Linked DNA regions of Arabidopsis thaliana. The protein of the gene in region 1 interacts with the protein of each later gene in a pairwise test. Each region holds a gene or a part of one and is shown on either strand. Other genes may lie near its edges.

Region 1 (8,008 bases):
CCATGAGATTACGACATGGTTACATGGACTGGTAATTTTCAAAGATTTTACAATTGCGCAACTTCTTTATGAATAAAAACCATTAGAATCAAAGTCAAACTTTCTTTCCAAATCACTCCACAGATGTGAACTCAAAGTATTACTCATACACTAGGAATATACGATATCTGATTCCAAAAGAATTAAGACACATGTTACATGCAAGGATACTCAGATGACAACTTTAGCTTTGCTACAATTATATATACCAATAATAACTATTATGCAGCTGTTACGTAAAGGCACACACCACACATCATGACAAGAGAAACAAATAAACAAAATAGTCTGGAAGAAGGTTACATACCAGTACTTAATCAAGCCGTCCCAACCACAAGTTGCGACTTTACTCTGTTCCAGAGGATGCCACTCGGCTCCAATGCATACTCCATTGTGACATTTAAGAGTCCTAAACACTTTGCAGCTCTTCCAGTCCCAAAACCAGCACTTACCCTCACCATCTCCTGACATTACAAACCGTCCATCTGGCGAGAAGTTAACTTGGCATGCATAACCGGCAACAATGTGCCCTGCAAACCTCTTCTTTTTATTCAGCTGAAACCTTTCTCGGGTACTGTAGATCAGAATCTGGTTATCCAAACTCTGTGCAGCAAGCCAGTTTCCATTCGGGTGAACAGAAATGGAAGGCATAGAATGCATATGAGGCTCACTGATATACTTGATAACCACCGGGATCCCAAATTCCCAAACACGGAGAGACTTATCATCGCTCGACGTGACAAATCTTCTGTTATTGTCCACAAATGTGATAGTATTAACTGCCCCCAAGTGCTGATCATACTCTTGCGTAACCTCCCCCGTATTAATATCCCACTGCACAATCTTCTTATCACTCATACCAGCCAACAAAATGTTCTGCTTGTCATCATCCGGATTCAGCTTAACCACATACGGAATCTTCCCAGTGGAGAAAGTCGATATAACTTGGCCAGTTTCCGTGTCCCAATACTTAATGTTCTTATCATACCCAGCAGTCAAGAATTTAGACCCATCATTGGAGAAGCAAATATCCCTCACAGCTTTGGCGTGACCCATGTAAGTCCTCATACATTTACCAGAGTTATACACATCCCAAATCTTAACCTTACAATCCATACCTGCAGAGAGAAGCAAATGTCCTTGCTTTGGGAAGAACCTAATAGCGGAAACACCTTTCGTGTGCCCACTCCATGTATGAACCAAACGTTTTGGAATGTAGCAATGATCATTGTTCGCCTTAGCATCTTTAGGAGCCTCAATCCAAGACCTTCCTTGATAATCTTTCTCCTCTTTGCCATGGAAGGTACTCTTATCCGCATAATGCTCTCCTTTGGTTTCACCTTGTTGTCCCTTCTCCTCCTTCTTCTTGGCATGATCCTCCGCATACTTCTTCTGCTCCTCCGTCAACTCTCCCTGAACCACCTCCTTCTTCCTCGACCACGGACTCTTCCTATTCTTCCTAAGCCAAGCTTCCGTCTCCGGATTCTCAGCTTCCGGCTCAATCTCTTCCTTTTTCTCTTCCCCTTCCCTCTCCTCTTTGCTCCTCTCAATCTTCCTCCGCTTCTGCTCACTCTGAGGAATATTAAAAACCGAAAGACCATCGTTCTTCTTAAACGCCTCAACATCGCCGACGTAGTTCATCCCAGACGGATCCGCCGCGTAACCGCACTTATGAAACGTATGGTACTGCTCTTCAAACCCAAACGATCCAATCGAAGCATCTTCCACAGAACCTAGCTTATGATTCCGCATCCCTTGAGCGATCCCGTCTTTCGCATACGGATGCGCGGGGCCGAACATCGGAGCCCACAGCTGATCATGGGTAGGGTTATAAAAGACGACGTGTTGAGTCGGGTCAATCGGCTTCGATTTCGATTGATTCACGTTAGCCACCGTGAGAGCTAGTGCCGTATCGTCTACCTCCGGCGCCGATGATTTCGCCTTTAACATACGAGGCGGTGAAGATTCCGGCGAGGAAGCAACGGCTTCGTCTTCTTCTTCGTAGGATTGAATCAGATCCATCTCTCACGATTTTGCTCTCTTACCACAAGTGTTTGAGAAACTTTATACTGAGATTTTGCCTCTTTTCTCTTCGACAAGGGTTTCAAAATTCCTAAATCTAAAATAAGGGTTGCAATTTGTGCGATATTTAGATTTTCAAATATAGCCTCTTACTATTTTTTTCTTTTCACATTTACCCCAATAGTGTATTTTATTGACATTTACATCCCACTGTCTTACTCGGTGGTTAAAATTATGCAAATCTGGACCAATCTAAAATCACGCCAAGCCAAACTGAATTAAACCGGGATGAATAAAAACGAAACGACAACGTTTTAAGGTTTCTTATGTTGACGGTCAACATATTTATCATAATCGAACTCAAAAGCAATTACTCATCTCATATTTAAAGAACTAACACATGTGTGAAAAAACACACTAGCGTTAGCGTAGACTTATCATTTGGGATTTCATGCTTCAAAATATATATATCCATAGATGATTTTCCGTACTCTCTCTTCTATCCTTGATGGATCAATGCCAATCCGACTAATGATAGCCTGCAAATATATGTAATAAAAATTTATACGAAAGACATGACACATGCATATACGTGTGTATTATACAAACATATGCGTGTGGATGTGGTACCTGGGCTATGATTGTGTAAGTGGTCCTATCATTCAAGTTCTGAAGATTAGCACTCATTACTTGAGCTCCTTCTTCTTCAAAAATACTCACAAGCTCGTGTAACATTACTCTTTTCATGTTTAGATCCATGATCAGATTCATTTCTATGGTCGAATCCCGCGAACGAATACTGAGTTTGGGTAGAAGAAACGACCCTTCGTAGAGATTCCCGAGTTCTCCTTGTAACAATGTCCTTTTCTTCTCTTTCAAATAATTTACATTCTCTTTCAATTGGATCATGTATGATGTCGCTTGATCTATAAGGTGAGGCACTGGTAACTGTTTAGATCCCAAAAAAAACCCCAAGATAATTACTTTCATTAATCTTTTACATGAATGTGGTTATATTCAATATATATAAATAAACCGTAAAAACCCTAGCTACGTGAATCATTTATTTGTCAATTAGACACCGTACTTAAAAGAGAGCTAATATGGACGGTCATAGAGGGACAACTGCCTATTCAATTAATCAAAATATTATCTCTTTAGAATAAAACGTACATCTTACAGTAATTATGTAGATAATGTTTGTATTGTTGTATATACGCATAAAACACATCTACAATTTAATATAAGATATATATAGAGAGAGAAAGAGAGAGAGGGAGAGTTAGAGAGAAAAAACGGACCTTGCGAGTGGGAGAAACATGAGAAGAAAGTATAGAGAAGAGATGTTTCATGCGCATCCTTCGATCCTTCTCTCTGAGGTTTCGTTGTTCCCTTAACGACGATGAGTTTCCTTCTCCTATTTCTCTTGCTCTCCCCATTCTTTTTGTTTTCTTTTAAGCTTTTATGTACAAGTTTCTCTTTTCAAATCCATCTCTCTTTATATACAGTTAAAGAGATAGAGAGGGCCGGGAGATACAGAGTCACAAATCTCAACTTTGAGAGAAAGAGCTACGTGATTTAGATGAAAGGGATGTTTTGGAAGAAAGTCATGGCTTTTGTGATTGCGTCCGTGAGCTTACACACTAAATTAATAAGATGCATGCATCTTTCCTACCAAGTAAATTTTACTATTTACTTCGGAATTTCCACGTTCTTAAAGATACAAAAGTTTCAAAACAATTAGATATGTTGTTTATCATTAAAAAAAAAATTAGATTTGTTGGTGGGTTGACACATTACTAGGACGCATCATAATTTCGATGTAAGATTTCTAACGTTCAAAGACATAGTTTAGATAGCATCATGCTTACCGTGTGAGATGAGATTCCTAACGTTCAGAGATATGATTCTTCTTCTTTCAGATTACTAACCATGAGTTTAAGTCCTGTGATTTACAGTAGGTTTGGAGAAAATTATTATCAAAAATCATTTCAATGGCGTAAAATAGTCAACAGCCACGGTAGACAAAAATGAATTCCTTACAACAGTACTATATATGTTTCTATCAACAAATAGAAAAGGAAAATTGTTTTGTATACTGATAGAATCGGGACCACTAAATCAAATAGTATCATCATGTTCAATTAATTTGGTGCACGTATTCATTATCCGAGGAAAGTATCATAAGGCGCCATAACCTAAGATTATTCAACAAGCTATCATTATCATAGAAGAAAAGGACACAACACATTCGGCATTCCTTACATAAATTATTAAAGGCCCTCAACTCTCTTTGGCCGTATGGCCGACATCGTTCACCGGATAGGGGATCTACATGGACCGATCGTCTAAACGTTCACCGGAGGTGAATACAAAGACAGAAAATTAAACATGCCTAGTTTTGTTGAGTCTTGGAGTACTCCAGGTAGATGTTGGTCATAACTTTGCCACTGAGCAAACTGACATAAAAAGTAAAAGGAGCCGCAATATGATACTAACACTGTGTATATATCGTCTCGCTGCTTGACCACTTGCTTAGAAACTGAGTAAGGGACAATTATATCCTTATTGCATTTTCCACATGTTATTCTTTTTTTCCTTCTTCAAATATTTGAATTCGTACAAGAAGAGAATAGTCATTTGGTAACTATCATAATTCATAGCCATTGAAAATCCGTGACTAGAAATACAGATTAGCCCAATTTTAAAATGTTAAGCCTATAATTACTTGTAACTAATTCTGTGGCTAGAAAAGGATGATTACTTATAGTTAGAAAATTTGTAGCGAAATTTTTGTTATCGATCTATATATACTGTCCAATTTATATAAGACATTTAGAAAAAAAGATTTGTTTACTAGTTATGTCGTGTATATATACATGTTTTTTAAGTTTTAGTTAACTATATTCACATACAAAATCTAACCATGTGTGATTTTAGGAGAAAACAAAGATGAATGTCCTTGCTATCGCAATATGAAAAACTCCAAAAGTGGATCCAAATGCCTATGCCCTTGAACATGTTTTGAAGATAGTCATCAGATGCATAACATCTATCTATTCTATGTATGCAAATATCAATTACGACTATTTTAGACGGCGCCTGTAATAAAATATTTGAGCTTAAAATGCTCAATGAAAGAAAATTTGAGAGTTCTTGACAATAAAAGTAGATAATATATTTTATATTTAAACATGAGATTCTATAAACGTAATAGAGATTAGGCATAGAAAGAAAAGAGAAAATAAAGAGATTTTGAAGATGATGTGAGAGGCTTTTTCGTTCATATACTTGAGGAAATGGTATTCAGACATTTGATCATTCTCTTTAACTTAAACAACAATAGGGCTATTACACCAATTCACTCTTAAAAATACTCATAATCTCATGTTTAAAGAACTAACACATTTAATTTGTTAAGAAAAGACTTGTGATTTGGGATTCAATAATGCTTCAAAAAATTAATCATGAGATTATATCCCTTAATCTCTCTTCTATCCTTGATGGATCAATCCCGATCCGACATATGATAGCCTGCAAATATTCATTTAGGTGATTATTAATTTATCATATATATATAGTCCTTCAAAAAAAGTTCAAACTATATTTTAATGATATGGAACAAAGAGATGCTGCTAAAAAAAAAAAAAAAAACATGACACATGCATGTACCTGGGCTATGATTGTATAAAAGGTCCTATCATTCAAGTTCTGAAGATTAGCACTCATCACTTGAGCTCCTTCTTCTTCAAAAACACTCACAAGCTTGTGTAACATTACTCCTTTCATGTTTAGATCCATAACCAGATTCATTTCTATGATCGAATCCAGTGAACGAATACTGAGTTTTGGCAGAAGAGACGACCCTTCAGAGCGATTTTTGACTTCTCCTCCTAACATTCTCCTTTTCATCTCATTCAAATAGTTTACCTTCTCTTTCAGTTGGATCATGTATGATACCGCTTGATCTATAAGTTGAGGCACTGGCAACTGTTGGTGCCAATAAAAACACACAACCTAGTTACTTCCATGTCTTTTGTATGAATTTGGTTATAATCGTTATATGTATTAACTAAAATGTAATATACTAGATTTTAACCCGCGGTACACCGCGGGAACAATTGTTTTTTTAAATTAGTATATATAAAAGTTCGTAAATTATATCTATCTATAAAATATATTTATTTTACAGTTTACAACTGTTATTAAGTAATGTCCTTTCAAACCCGTCCCGCCAAACCCGTCCCGTAAAAAAAAACTACAGTACATCGTTGATTTAAATATATAATTAAAATAAATATTTTACGGGATTACAATTGTACTTTAGTTTGTCAAACAATTTTTGTTTTAAATAGTTGCCGAAATCTAGTTTAAATTTTGGAGAAATAAGATTTAGTGAATTGATAAAAAAATGTATTTAAGTGCGTTTTGCTCATTTTAAGGGATTGCAATTGTATTTTGGTTTGCCAAACATTTTTTGTTATAAATAGTTACCGACATTTAGTTCAAATTTTGAAGAAATCTGCGTGATATATGAGATTGTAATATATTTGAAATAGTTTTGAGAACGATGATTTTGTTACGTTTTAATACATGTACATTTTACTAACTGAAAATATGAGATTGATTATTTGTATAACACGGAAAATATGAGATTGATTCTTTATATTACAATGAAAATGAATGATTCAAAACTAAAGATCATAGTGTAATATAGTTTAGCTTAGAAAATAATTAAAACGATTTTATTTATTTATTTAGTTTTCTAAATTTTAGTTTAGATTCAGAAAATAATTGTTTAATTTCCTTAGAAGATGATAAACATATATGGAAGATTTGAATCTCTATATATTTTAAAAATCAATCAATAATGTCAATATAATTAAAGGATAGATTAGAAAAAAGTTTCTTGAATGCTAAATAATTAATTTGTTATTTATAAACAAAATATTAAATGCTGTAAAAACGAAATATTAAATAAATATGGAAAGAAAATTCTACCTTAAAATATTTTGTACTATTAAAACCGATTTTTTTTTTGCAGCAAATTAAAACCGAAAATTAATAAATACTTAAGAGAGATTTTAGGAATGATTTTTTTGAAGTAATGTTAGACTTTTTTTGAAGTAATGGTGGATTTAATATAGAGACATTTTAGGCAATATTTTTGTTAGGTAAATATTTGATTTAAAATGTCGATTGAAAAAAATAAATTCAGTGGCATTGAGTCGTAAATAAGTTCTAAGTCCAGGATTTATTTGTTAAAATGACTGCAAAAATGTATATATAGATATGAATCATTTGTTTTAACTCTACACTACATATAATGGTCCTAGCTGGCTTGTACTAAATACTGAGAACCCTAGCTAAATGCTGCACTTTGATTGATCTGGTTCAAATCAAGATGATTATCCCTTGATCAGTTCTTTGATTGATCTGGTTAAAATCAAGATGTCCATAGGATTTTCGCAACATAGCCCTTGCCTAAGCGTCTAGGCGCTTAGACAAAACCAACACATACATTACATCTACGAAAAATTATGTACTCTGTATATATAAACAATAAAATACATGTAGAGAGAGAGAGACGGACCCTACGAGTGGGAGAAACATGAGAAGAGAGTATGGAGAAGAGATGTTTCATGCGCATTCGTCGTTCTTTCTCTCTGAGGTTTCGTTGTTCCCGTAATGACGATGCGCTTCCTTCTCCTATTTCTCTCGCTCTTTCCATTCTTCTTCTTTTCCTTTTTTAGGTTACTATGTTTAATTCCCTCTTTCCAAATCCATCTCTCCCTCTATAAATATAAAGAGATAGAGAGAAAGAGCCGCGTAATTTTAGATGAAAATGATGTTTTTCAAAGAAAGTCATGGCTTTTCTGGTTGCGTCCATGAGCTTACACACTACTTAATTTATACATATATATGCTTCTTTTACTTTGTAAGTTCC
Region 2 (6,128 bases), 3.2 Mb from region 1:
ATAGTTTTGTATCCATTTGTGATTTGCGGGTTTCTGTTGCCACCTCCCCACTCTCCTCGCTTTTGTTGGTCTTGGAAAAACCCTGGGATTTTGGGTATCTCTGAGCACGAATTCTACATTCTCATGGCTTTCGAACACAGAAATGAAGACCTAAATTCCTTGGATTCGGAAGAAGATCTGGAGAAAATGGAGTCAGAGGTGGAGCAAATGTCGCGCAAGGTTTCCGAGTACAGGAAAAGCCTACCGAGTAATCTGAGCAATTCTGTGATTTCTTCTCGTAGATCCAATTTTCCCAACATCGATTCTTTGGGCTTTCGCACAACTAGCACAGGTTCGTACGTTTCTTTGCTTATATTTAGTTAGATACCTTCCTTCTCCTTTGGTTTCAGCTGGAATTTTAGTCTCTTTTTCTTTCTAGATGATGTAATAATAGATTGATCCTCTACATTATTCGTGGATCATTCTTGTGAAGACCAAGTTGTTTAGCAGCAGCAGACTTGCCTTTTGATTGTGATGTCGTTTTTTGCATTTAGGTTTGTGTCATGCCATGCGTGTAGAATATTGTGATACTTGCTACTATACCCTCTGGATGATTATGTTCATGAGTTATTACGCTTAATTCTGAGGTGATGATACATATACAAGGCTTTTCCATTACAATAAATCATGTATTTTTGTGGCTTAGAATCGACAAGCATGAGACTATGTGATGATATGTTTAGCTAAGCTGAGAGAAAATGATTGTTTAGCCAATTTTTGTTTACAGATACCATGAGATAAGTGGCCACATTAGGTGACACTAAGATTTCATAGCATTGTAATATACACAAGTCTCTAGTGAACTGCTGTTGTGATAACCAACTCATCAGTTATTTTGTTCCTTGCAAGTTTGGAAGAACCTCTAGTGTCAAGAGATGGAGCACATATAGGTGGAATCGAACAAGAATCTCGAGATAGCCTGATTCAGCTCAAAGAAAGAGTGTACGAGAACATTGCCACAGTGCCTCTAGTTGTAGAGAGAATGCGAGAGAGTAAAGAGAGAATCGACAAGTCCATTTCTTTCAATGGAACTACTATGCACCCGGCTTTCACAAGGCGGAAAGCTAGCTAACTGATCAGTTTCTACTTCTCCCTATTGGCTTTACCACTCAAAGAAAGCTAATGCATAGGAGGAGATATGGCTGGTATTTCTTTCTACTATATTAGTATCAACCAACATCTCTCGCATTTAGAATAAGAGTATACCATAACCTCTGTTTTGATTGTGTTCTACATTGAAACAGGTCTTTCTCTGATTTTAATATGGACTCTTATAGAATCTTGGGCTGATTCTACACCCTGTATGTATATGTAAGAATCACATAATCAGATGGTTGCACAATTGTCAAGAACACCCAAATCCAAGCTTGCGATTTAGCAATCTCACCCGTGTAAGAAACTTAAAACCATAAAACCAATTGATATAAGAGCTTTTCTAGCAAAAACTTAAAAATATAATTAACACCGTCGAAAATGGTGGAGGCTACTAGAGCGAGATATAAACTTTATCACCGTTTAATCGTGTGGGATTTTGAAATGATATGAACCTATTGCAAAAAGACAAAAAAAAAATATAAACGGAGGAACTAGGCAGTGGGACCGGAGATCCACCGACCGGAAACGAAGAATCCATAGTAAGATAGAGCCCAGGGGTTCGGTCGTATCGGACCGGTCGGATTTGGATTCTAACGACAAGTGAGTGGACCCCCAGAAACGACAGACGTAAGCAATGACAACATCAAACTCATCGCCACGTCAGCAACGGAGTTCTACTTGCGAAACGTGTCCCGGCAGCGTCATCCACCCACGTGTGTTCTAGAAGCTCTTCTCCTCCTCCGTATCTCGACACGTGTCCACTCCCTCTCCTTATATAATTGACTTTTCTCTCATTCTTTCCAAGTTTCAAAAACGCCAAGTTTCAGAGGTAGAGAGAGAGATACTACAATTGATTAGGATAGGATCAGGATCATCCTCAACAACCTCCTCCTAATTCCTCCTCCATTCATAGTAACAATAATATTAAGAAAGAGGGTAAACTATGTCAGAATTATTACAGTTGCCTCCAGGTTTCCGATTTCACCCTACCGATGAAGAGCTTGTCATGCACTATCTCTGCCGCAAATGTGCCTCTCAGTCCATCGCCGTTCCGATCATCGCTGAGATCGATCTCTACAAATACGATCCATGGGAGCTTCCTGGTGACATACTAGCTCTCTTTCTCTTTAATCTTTGCCGGATTCTAAATCTGAGATTGTTCTCTGCTGACTCAAATTCAATTTTACAGGTTTAGCCTTGTATGGTGAGAAGGAATGGTACTTCTTCTCTCCCAGGGACAGAAAATATCCCAACGGTTCGCGTCCTAACCGGTCCGCTGGTTCTGGTTACTGGAAAGCTACCGGAGCTGATAAACCGATCGGACTACCTAAACCGGTCGGAATTAAGAAAGCTCTTGTTTTCTACGCCGGCAAAGCTCCAAAGGGAGAGAAAACCAATTGGATCATGCACGAGTACCGTCTCGCCGACGTTGACCGGTCCGTTCGCAAGAAGAAGAATAGTCTCAGGGTATGGAATCAGATCTGATTCACATCTTTGTTTCAATCTCTTGTTCTGTTTCTGGTAAATTGAATCAACGGTGTTGATTTTTGCCCAGCTGGATGATTGGGTTCTCTGCCGGATTTACAACAAAAAAGGAGCTACCGAGAGGCGGGGACCACCGCCTCCGGTTGTTTACGGCGACGAAATCATGGAGGAGAAGCCGAAGGTGACGGAGATGGTTATGCCTCCGCCGCCGCAACAGACAAGTGAGTTCGCGTATTTCGACACGTCGGATTCGGTGCCGAAGCTGCATACTACGGATTCGAGTTGCTCGGAGCAGGTGGTGTCGCCGGAGTTCACGAGCGAGGTTCAGAGCGAGCCCAAGTGGAAAGATTGGTCGGCCGTAAGTAATGACAATAACAATACCCTTGATTTTGGGTTTAATTACATTGATGCCACCGTGGATAACGCGTTTGGAGGAGGAGGGAGTAGTAATCAGATGTTTCCGCTACAGGATATGTTCATGTACATGCAGAAGCCTTACTAGAAGGGAATTCCTTTCCTGCCGCCGAAACGCAACGCAAAACGACCCTCGTTTTTGCGTTTATGGCAACACGAGACCGTTTTATATGGTCAATGAGTGTGCCGATTCGGCCATTAGATTTCTGTTCAGTCTTCGTTTATTCTATAGACCGTCCGATTTCAGATCATCCCTAATCGGACGGTGGTCGTTGGATGTATCAGTAGTGTATTACTGTGTTAGGTAGAAGAAAATCCACTTGTTCTTAAATTGGCATAAAAGTCAGAAGCTAATATTTATATGTGCCGCAATCAATTTAATATTTTCTGTCTACTTAGGAGTAATGGATACAAACTAGCGTATTGGTTCTATATTTATTTATCAGCTTTCACAGTTGATCTGACTTACATTTATTGTGAACATATCTAACAAGTGTAGAGGAGTAATGGATACAAGCTAGAGTACAGTGTGTTAGCAGAAACGCTATAAGATGAAGTCTGATGTTGAGCTACATGTTACTGTCCATTGTCACTTGTCGGACTTCTTTGATGGAAAGATGAACTCTTTCACGGAATCTTGCGCTGAAAGTATCCTCTGTCTGATCTGCATATGCAAAATGTCATAGATAATATAGAGTTAATTGGCTACAAAACCCCATCGAACCATAAGAAATTGATTTGGTGTTCAAGAGTAAATGAGTAATCAGTACTCTCAACATAGAGAGAGTAACAACAGACTAAAAACTCAGCAAAACAAAGTAGTCACTACTCATTCGTTGAAGATCCAGGCAAACGCAACAAAGCTGAGCATAGAAGTCAGGAACATTCATATCTCATTCAAAGTTTTCTAAGATCAAAATTCAACCCTAGCAACTAACAACTAATAAAGAGATCTAACCAATATCAATTGAAACCAAGTGATTGTAGGCTGTAGCAAATATCTGCGATTCGAAGCGATGATGATCGAGAAGGTTGACGGTTCGATTTATTAAACACAAACAAAAAAAAAAGAGAGAGAGAGAGAGAGAGAGAGAGAGAGAGAGAGAGAGAGAGAGAGAGAGAGAGAGAGAGAGAGAGAGAGAGAGAGAGAGAGAGAGAGAGAGAGAGAGAGAGAGAGAGAGAGAGAGAAACTCACAGGATCAAGAGCGTTGGGCTCTGGACCGTAATCAGCGGTTAAGAGGAAGTACGATACAACAGCAGTCGCCACCACACTGGTTACCTTCACCACCTTTTCAATTTGGGGATTCATCGATGTTTTCGTTCCCAGAAAGAACAATTCCGGTGATTTTGGTTTTTTTCAAGTGACACAATGATGATGTTATACGTTTTTTTATTGGTAAAACGACACACAATCCGATTTGTGTAAGAAAATTCATGCCGTTTTCGTTCACTTCAAATATGGGCCCAGAAAGGCCCAAACATCTCATCAAGTCCTCACGGCGTCGTTTTTAAGATCCCCGCTGCGTTGATTTATGGCGATCTCTTTCGGCGGTTGAAAACCTTTGAAAATTGAAAATGGAGAAATCGACCTCTCCGGCGACTCGAGTCACCGAACCTCCTCCTGCTGCTACTTCATCTCTTCCAGCACAAGCTCCTCCGCTTCCTACATCTGCAGATCAGAGATCAGCTGAGTTACCTTCGCCTGCTCAGCCAGCTCAGATGACTGCGCCTCCGTCGACAGTTACCACAGATCCGTCGTCCAGGGGAAGAAAGCGAGCGCTGGAAGCGAATCTTCAGATCGAGAGCTCCAACTACTACAAGATGCGTCTCCTTGTCAAAGATCTTCGCCCTCACGTTCTCGAGGTTGGACCATAATTGTGATAAAAACATTCAAACTCTTTGTTTGGGAAAGGGTTTATACATAACAACTTGGATTTTGTGGTGTGCTACAGGTTTTACGAACTCCAGACTTGAGGAACTCTAAGGCAGTTATCGAGATTCAAGAGAGTGAGAAGCTCTTACACTCTCTTCTTTTGTTATCTCAATTTTCACTTAGCTCAACAAAAGGCCCAACTTGTTTGATTCTGTGTCCCTTGAAATGATGATGTTTGCAGAGATGAAGCTTATGCTTCAACTGTACGAAGAGATGATTGGAGAGTCTCCCAAACGTGAGAAAACAGCTAAGAGCGACTCTTTATCCAACGGAAAGGCGACTACTACTACTACTACTACTACTAGTGTACTGAGATCATCTGAAACTGAGAAGCACAGCTCTGATGGAGATGGCGACAAGGTGGTTGGAGGGTCGGCATTTGGCTGGAACTTCATAACCTCTGGAGGGCCAGGCACTGAACCTGTTTATTCTGGAATGTCAAAGGAAGAATACAGAAGCTCTCACCCAATTATGCAAGTGGAGGCAGAGCTTGAGTTGCCCAACACATTCTAAGCTTTGTTAGTGGTGTTTGTATAATATTATTCACTTTGGTATCCGTTCATCCCAATGTTTTATATGTATCAACTGAAACAATGGATTAGCTTCTACCCATGAAGCCTTAATTAGTACACAATATGCTTAACATCTAAACCTTTTTTTTTACACAATATGCTTAATGAGACAGCACATTACCTTTGGATTGTTAATCAAAGCTTCTTCATCTTCTACCAAAACCCAAAATAATAAGTCTTTAGTTCTGTGTGGAAGCTGAAATCTTTCTGGCTTCAAGAATGGATCCTTCGGTAAGTGCGATTTGAGATTCCTTCTCCATTCCCAGGACAGAAAGAGCAGCAGACTGGAGATACAATGCAACATACCAAACAGGAGAAATGCCTTGAGCCTTCATTGCATCATCTAAAGCTTCTTTCGCCATGTTACTCATTAGGTAACTTTGACTTCGCCGCACCAAGACTGTTGCAGAGATCATTCCCAAATCAAGAAACTGGGACAATTTTTATAGACAGGGCATCATCAACTATGGAGGAAGGTCTTGTTACGGATTCAAGTGTGAAAGAAAGACATACCTGCGTGTAAAACTCAATGGCTTCACTAAAGTCTTTTCTTCTAAATGCAATATCACCTTTTTTCTTCGAGTTTATAG
Region 3 (6,288 bases), on another chromosome or scaffold:
ATTCTGGTTTTGTATCATTTGGTACGTTTTGTGTCATTTTATCTGTTTATAAAACTTAATCCAACATCTTTAATTAGTATTCTTAAATGTCAAAGTTCAAACAATTCTCATTGCAGATATTACTTCACGGCACATTGAAGGAAAGAGACTGGACAAAACGGTTTGGAACTTGCTAAATTTCTACGCATGCGCTAAGTACCATATTAAGGTACATTAGTTCTAGTTTTTCAAATAAAATATAATAGATTTTGTGTTCTTGTAATTGAAAATTTTCAACCTCGTATTGTTTAAATAGTGCTCGAGAGGGTACATACAGAGACGGATGAGAAAAAGAATGGAAACTTTAGTTAAGGTATTTTTATCATATATTACGTACACACACGAATCTACAACAATAGTTGACATTTCATAAACAAAATAACGTATGTTTGTAAATTTACATTATATACGTAGCTGCTAAATAACACAAGCCTAGAAGAAGAAGCTGCTCAAAATGGTATCCTTTTTTTTTGTTACCTTTAACCTTACTTAGGTTTGTATATATAAAAAAGTTATATTATCATTTTTTCTTTTCCATTCTCTAATTTCTATATAGAAAACGGAAGATGCAAATACGTAAAGGAGTTTGTGAAGGTACCAAAAGGTAAATTGATGATGAAACAAAGATGCAAGGAGATGACAAGGAGAGTGAAGATAAGCAAGTTCCGGATCAAAATCAACGGTTGTGCTCGGTTTCGATTCAATCAGCGGTGGATATCTCTCCCCAAATTCTCTTCGAAACCATCAGATAAATCATACACAAAATTGGACTAAGTAATCACTTAACTTGGAAAGTCTCAAGAAAGAGGCTCGGTGTTGTTGTTTTTTTTCTTTGTCAACATGCTTTAAAATTGAATTCGGGGAGCAATATTATACGTTAATGAATATCTTGACAACAAAAAAAAACGTTATCAGATAAACTTATGGATATAATTTGGTAAACCAAAAATAAACCTAATCAAAAGTTGGCATTGAATGCAGCATGTTACGTAAGAGCTTTGTACAAGTACCATTCACTCTTTTTACTTTTCAATGTATACAATCATCATGTGATAAAAAAAAAAATGTAACCAATCAACACACTGAGATACGGCCAAAAAATGGTAATACATAAATGTTTGTAGGTTTTGTAATTTAAATACTTTAGTTAAGTTATGATTTTATTATTTTTGCTTATCACTTATACGAAATCATCAATCTATTGGTATCTCTTAATCCCGCTTTTTAATTTCCACCGCACACGCAAATCAGCAAATGGTTCCAGCCACGTGCATGTGACCACATATTGTGGTCACAGTACTCGTCCTTTTTTTTTCTTTTGTAATCAATAAATTTCAATCCTAAAACTTCACACATTGAGCACGTCGGCAACGTTAGCTCCTAAATCATAACGAGCAAAAAAGTTCAAATTAGGGTATATGATCAATTGATCATCACTACATGTCTACATAATTAATATGTATTCAACCGGTCGGTTTGTTGATACTCATAGTTAAGTATATATGTGCTAATTAGAATTAGGATGAATCAGTTCTTGCAAACAACTACGGTTTCATATAATATGGGAGTGTTATGTACAAAATGAAAGAGGATGGATCATTCTGAGATGTTATGGGCTCCCAGTCAATCATGTTTTGCTCGCATATGCTATCTTTTGAGTCTCTTCCTAAACTCATAGAATAAGCACGTTGGTTTTTTCCACCGTCCTCCTCGTGAACAAAAGTACAATTACATTTTAGCAAATTGAAAATAACCACGTGGATGGACCATATTATATGTGATCATATTGCTTGTCGTCTTCGTTTTCTTTTAAATGTTTACACCACTACTTCCTGACACGTGTCCCTATTCACATCATCCTTGTTATATCGTTTTACTTATAAAGGATCACGAACACCAAAACATCAATGTGTACGTCTTTTGCATAAGAAGAAACAGAGAGCATTATCAATTATTAACAATTACACAAGACAGCGAGATTGTAAAAGAGTAAGAGAGAGAGAATGGCAGGAGAGGCAGAGGCTTTGGCCACGACGGCACCGTTAGCTCCGGTCACCAGTCAGCGAAAAGTACGGAACGATTTGGAGGAAACATTACCAAAACCATGTAAGTGTGAATGTCCAAATTTATGATTTTAATGTGTAACAAGCGGGAAATTAAGTGGTTACGTTAAATGAAACTACAAAAACATCCAACTATTAACATGACAAATCGTATATTATCCATTTTTAAAAGTTATGGTGAGGACATGAACATGTTTCAAATTAAGTGTACCTTTCAAGATTTGTAGTGTTCAACACAAGTCACAATAACTTAAAGAAAAAATGTAATTTTCTTGAAAAAGATACATAATAATCTAACGTACAAAAATGAAAAACAGACATGGCAAGAGCATTAGCAGCTCCAGATACAGAGCATCCGAATGGAACAGAAGGTCACGATAGCAAAGGAATGAGTGTTATGCAACAACATGTTGCTTTCTTCGACCAAAACGACGATGGAATCGTCTATCCTTGGGAGACTTATAAGGGTAATTATTACTTGTTATAGTCTCTTCAAAGACTTCAATCTTCAGAAAAAAAAAAAATTCAAATAATTGTATAAAAATTGCAGGATTTCGTGACCTTGGTTTCAACCCAATTTCCTCTATCTTTTGGACCTTACTCATAAACTTAGCGTTCAGCTACGTTACACTTCCGGTATGGAAAATAATCCAGAGACCCTTCGAATTTAATTTGAATTTTATTATTATTTTGTGATTTTAATTTATGTTGTGATCAATTTTATGTAAAAAGAGTTGGGTGCCATCACCATTATTGCCGGTTTATATCGACAACATACACAAAGCCAAGCATGGGAGTGATTCGAGCACCTATGACACCGAAGGAAGGTAACATTAACATATATGTAAAATATAATATCCAATAATTTTAAATAGAATTTTCATGATACTCAATTTTGTAAAATTGCGATTGTTTATAGGTATGTCCCAGTTAACCTCGAGAACATATTTAGCAAATACGCGCTAACGGTTAAAGATAAGTTATCATTTAAAGAGGTTTGGAATGTAACCGAGGGAAATCGAATGGCAATCGATCCTTTTGGATGGTTAGTACTAAAAACATTATTGGTTATTAGTTGATTTTTTTGAATGAAATTTATTAGTTGATTTTACATACACGGTAATAAGTTAACACTAAATCCTAACGAAATCTGCTAAATTTGTTGTGTTGGTTATGGCAGGCTTTCAAACAAAGTTGAATGGATACTACTCTATATTCTTGCTAAGGACGAAGATGGTTTCCTATCTAAAGAAGCTGTGAGAGGTTGCTTTGATGGAAGTTTATTTGAACAAATTGCCAAAGAGAGGGCCAATTCTCGCAAACAAGACTAAGAATGTGTGTGTTTGGTTAGCGAATAAAGCTTTTTGAAGAAAAGCATTGTGTAATTTAGCTTCTTTCGTCTTGTTATTCAGTTTGGGGATTTGTATAATTAATGTGTTTGTAAACTATGTTTCAAAGTTATATAAATAAGAGAAGATGTTACAAAAAAAAAAAAAAGACTAATAAGAAGAATTTGGTATTGTTCATTTCATGATTAAAATGGTTCATGGGCTATCATGGGCCTAAAAGGCCTTTTCCATAGGTTTAAACCCTAATCCTTTCTTCTCCTTCATTTTTCTACTTCGATCAGACGCCAAACATCAGAAGCCCTAGAGCTTGAGCCGTCGAAAATGTCGAAGCGAGGTATGTCTTTTTCGATTCCAAGCCTTCTTCTTTCGTAGCTGTTGCAATTTAGTATAATTTGTTTTTGAAGCTTCCATGGCTGTTAGATTTAATAATAATTGAAATCAATCTACTACTCTCAGTATAGAATGCTCGAAAGTTTGAACCTTTGATCTCGATTTCTTCAATTCCAAGTAATATGATCTGATGTATTCATCTAGACAGCTCATTAACAACATTTGATATCAAAAATATTGAATTTGAGACTTGATGTTATTGAAAACAGAAAAGGTAAATGTTTTTGAGCATTGTTCTAATGGTGCTTGTGTTTTGTTGTTTGATTTGATTAGGACGTGGAGGAACGTCTGGTAACAAATTCAGGATGTCACTTGGTCTGCCCGTTGCAGCCACAGTGAACTGTGCAGACAACACTGGTGCTAAGAACCTTTACATCATCTCTGTTAAAGGAATCAAAGGTCGTCTCAATCGGTTACCTTCTGCTTGTGTTGGTGACATGGTTATGGCCACTGTCAAGAAAGGTAAACCAGACCTCAGGAAAAAGGTTCTTCCTGCTGTGATTGTTAGGCAACGTAAGCCATGGCGCCGAAAGGACGGTGTTTTCATGTACTTTGAAGGTAATTTTGCATACCTCAACAATTTCTCGAGTTGAAGTTTATGATCATGAGATTGGTACTGATTCGGTTCTTGGATCGTAGATAATGCTGGAGTGATTGTGAACCCTAAGGGAGAAATGAAAGGTATTAGTTTGTTTATTCCATTAGTTCTTTGTCAAACATATCTTGGCAGTACATTGTTTTCTGAAACATGTTGGTGGTTTGTTTTGGTTTTCAGGTTCTGCAATTACTGGACCTATTGGGAAAGAGTGTGCGGATCTCTGGCCAAGGATTGCTAGTGCTGCTAACGCCATTGTCTGAAGATCATTTATCACTTTTGCTGGTTATGTATCTGTCTTCAACGAAACGCGAAATAGTTGGTGTTTTGAGTGTTTTAAGTAGAGACGACAATCTTTTGTGAGCTTCAGACATATTTCCAGTTTCTAAGAGATTTTGCTTAGATTTTTCCAGTTTCTGATTTTGTGAAAATCAATTGCTCAGAGGTGACTATTAATAGGTCATAAAAATGAGTTATAAAGTCGAAAATTATGTGCAGAAGAAACTCTTACAAAACCAGAATATCATGAAGGTGAAAATTTGGAGGCAGCGAAATCATGTGGTCTACAATATTTGGAGGCAGCGAAATAATCTGCTTCACAATCTTCAGCGTCTTGCTCCGGCCCTCATCTTCAAGTTCATTGACCGCGAGATTCGAAACATCATCACCTCGAGAAGGCACCGGGCGCGTTGGCGGTCGTTAATGCTTCTTTGGATCCGTTAATCCACCCAAATCTTACGTAACTCTATTGTAATCTTGTTTTACTTTTTTGCCAAGATTGCTTTGGTTTGGTTTTGCTCTGTAAAATCACATTGTTCATTCTAATGATATTAACAAATTTAGCAAAAAAAAAAAAAATCATGAAGGTGAAAATCAAAAGTCAGAATTTACATTTTACACAACTCTTTGAAAAACAATACCAAAGCCCACATATGATTCCAGTAAAGAGACAATGATATACTTTCTATAGATTTAAACAGAAAGCCAAAAAATAAAAAAATAAAAATAATATCTACTAATTTGTAGATATTGTTAACTCAAGAACCCAACTAAAAACTATGAAGGCTGAGTTTTGCCCATCTTACTTTGTGCAATCCTTTCTTTTGCTAGTTAAGCTTCTGTACACTTCTTTGACGACCATGGCCGGAGTCTCTGGCTTTGGCTATGAATGTATGCTAAAGCAATTGAAAAAGATTGCAAAACTGATATCTTTGCTTGAGACTGGACAAAGTAGAGACCATCTCGAACATTCATGATCCTTAGTCCAGGACTTCCCTGCATCAATCCCTGAAACGAAAACACACAACGAATCAATCGAATTTCAGAGTCAATATGACCAAGACTGATTTTTTAGTTGATGAGTTATCTTGAATGCAAGAAAGTTTCCATTTTTTGAAATCTATGATGTATGGTTAAGGAAGTGGTAACTGGATCTTGAATGCTACCTCTGTGAAAAGCTCAAAAAGATTGCATTGGCCTTCACTTTGGTCTTTTCGCGCTTGGCCTTTAAGGACGGTTAAGGGGCAACCCAAGTCCCATCCAGAGCAATCACAGCATCCACCGGATTTCCATCTCTGAATCAAGCTCGAAGGACCACCGTTTCTATTTCTCGGCCCTCCGTGAATCCCTAAAGGAATCACAACATCTATGCTTGTGGAATGCTTAGAACATTTAGAAGCATCCTTGGTTCGAGCTAAGGGAATTTTCTTGAGAAACTTCATGCCCCAGCCTCCAACTTTTTCGACTTCTTCTTCTTCTTCTTCTTCCACTGGAAACTGTTCTCTCACAACAACAGCTGAGGTTTCAAGATTTGGTGGAAGGTCATTATCCAGTAAACTTATGGGTTCAAGAT

The links. The genes of interacting proteins can lie anywhere in the genome.
Region 2: the proteins of AT1G10585 (region 1) and ATAF1 interact in a two-hybrid assay, tested with the Arabidopsis thaliana proteins (one large-scale study listed by BioGRID).
Region 3: the proteins of AT1G10585 (region 1) and RD20 interact in a two-hybrid assay, tested with the Arabidopsis thaliana proteins (one large-scale study listed by BioGRID).

Annotation. Positions count from the first base shown.
Region 1 is NC_003070.9:3,491,605-3,499,612, forward strand, and holds AT1G10585 (basic helix-loop-helix (bHLH) DNA-binding superfamily protein), read right to left. Parts: upstream 3,641-8,008; 5' UTR 3,501-3,640; coding exon 3,363-3,500; intron 3,081-3,362; exon of another isoform or gene 3,052-3,080; coding exon of another isoform or gene 3,010-3,051; coding exon 2,692-3,009; intron 2,601-2,691; coding exon 2,511-2,600; 3' UTR 2,166-2,510; downstream 1-2,165. Other genes in the region: AT1G10580 (Transducin/WD40 repeat-like superfamily protein), read right to left, coding at 347-2,061; AT1G10586 (basic helix-loop-helix (bHLH) DNA-binding superfamily protein), read right to left, coding at 5,527-5,595, 5,734-6,051, 7,655-7,792.
Region 2 is NC_003070.9:266,394-272,521, forward strand, and holds ATAF1 (NAC (No Apical Meristem) domain transcriptional regulator superfamily protein), read left to right. Parts: upstream 1-1,599; 5' UTR 1,600-2,077; coding exon 2,078-2,237; intron 2,238-2,323; coding exon 2,324-2,601; intron 2,602-2,689; coding exon 2,690-3,121; 3' UTR 3,122-3,426; downstream 3,427-6,128. Other genes in the region: AT1G01715 (uncharacterized protein), read left to right, coding at 124-331, 900-1,111; AT1G01725 (adenylosuccinate synthetase), read right to left, coding at 3,623-3,697, 4,229-4,342; AT1G01730 (uncharacterized protein), read left to right, coding at 4,609-4,896, 4,986-5,040, 5,148-5,479; BSK4 (kinase with tetratricopeptide repeat domain-containing protein), read right to left, coding at 5,718-5,969, 6,052-6,128.
Region 3 is NC_003071.7:14,142,129-14,148,416, reverse strand, and holds RD20 (Caleosin-related family protein), read left to right. Parts: upstream 1-1,861; 5' UTR 1,862-2,042; coding exon 2,043-2,145; intron 2,146-2,419; coding exon 2,420-2,569; intron 2,570-2,652; coding exon 2,653-2,738; intron 2,739-2,834; coding exon 2,835-2,929; intron 2,930-3,021; coding exon 3,022-3,147; intron 3,148-3,282; coding exon 3,283-3,433; 3' UTR 3,434-3,586; downstream 3,587-6,288. Other genes in the region: arpc2b (actin-related protein C2B), read left to right, coding at 1-21, 117-208, 296-352, 454-496, 596-813; AT2G33370 (Ribosomal protein L14p/L23e family protein), read left to right, coding at 3,773-3,785, 4,115-4,399, 4,481-4,522, 4,617-4,699; AT2G33360 (cadherin EGF LAG seven-pass G-type receptor, putative (DUF3527)), read right to left, coding at 5,547-5,723, 5,882-6,288. UniProt on the Arabidopsis thaliana protein: Probable calcium-binding peroxygenase. May be involved in the degradation of storage lipid in oil bodies, in abiotic stress-related signaling pathway and in drought tolerance through stomatal control under water deficit conditions.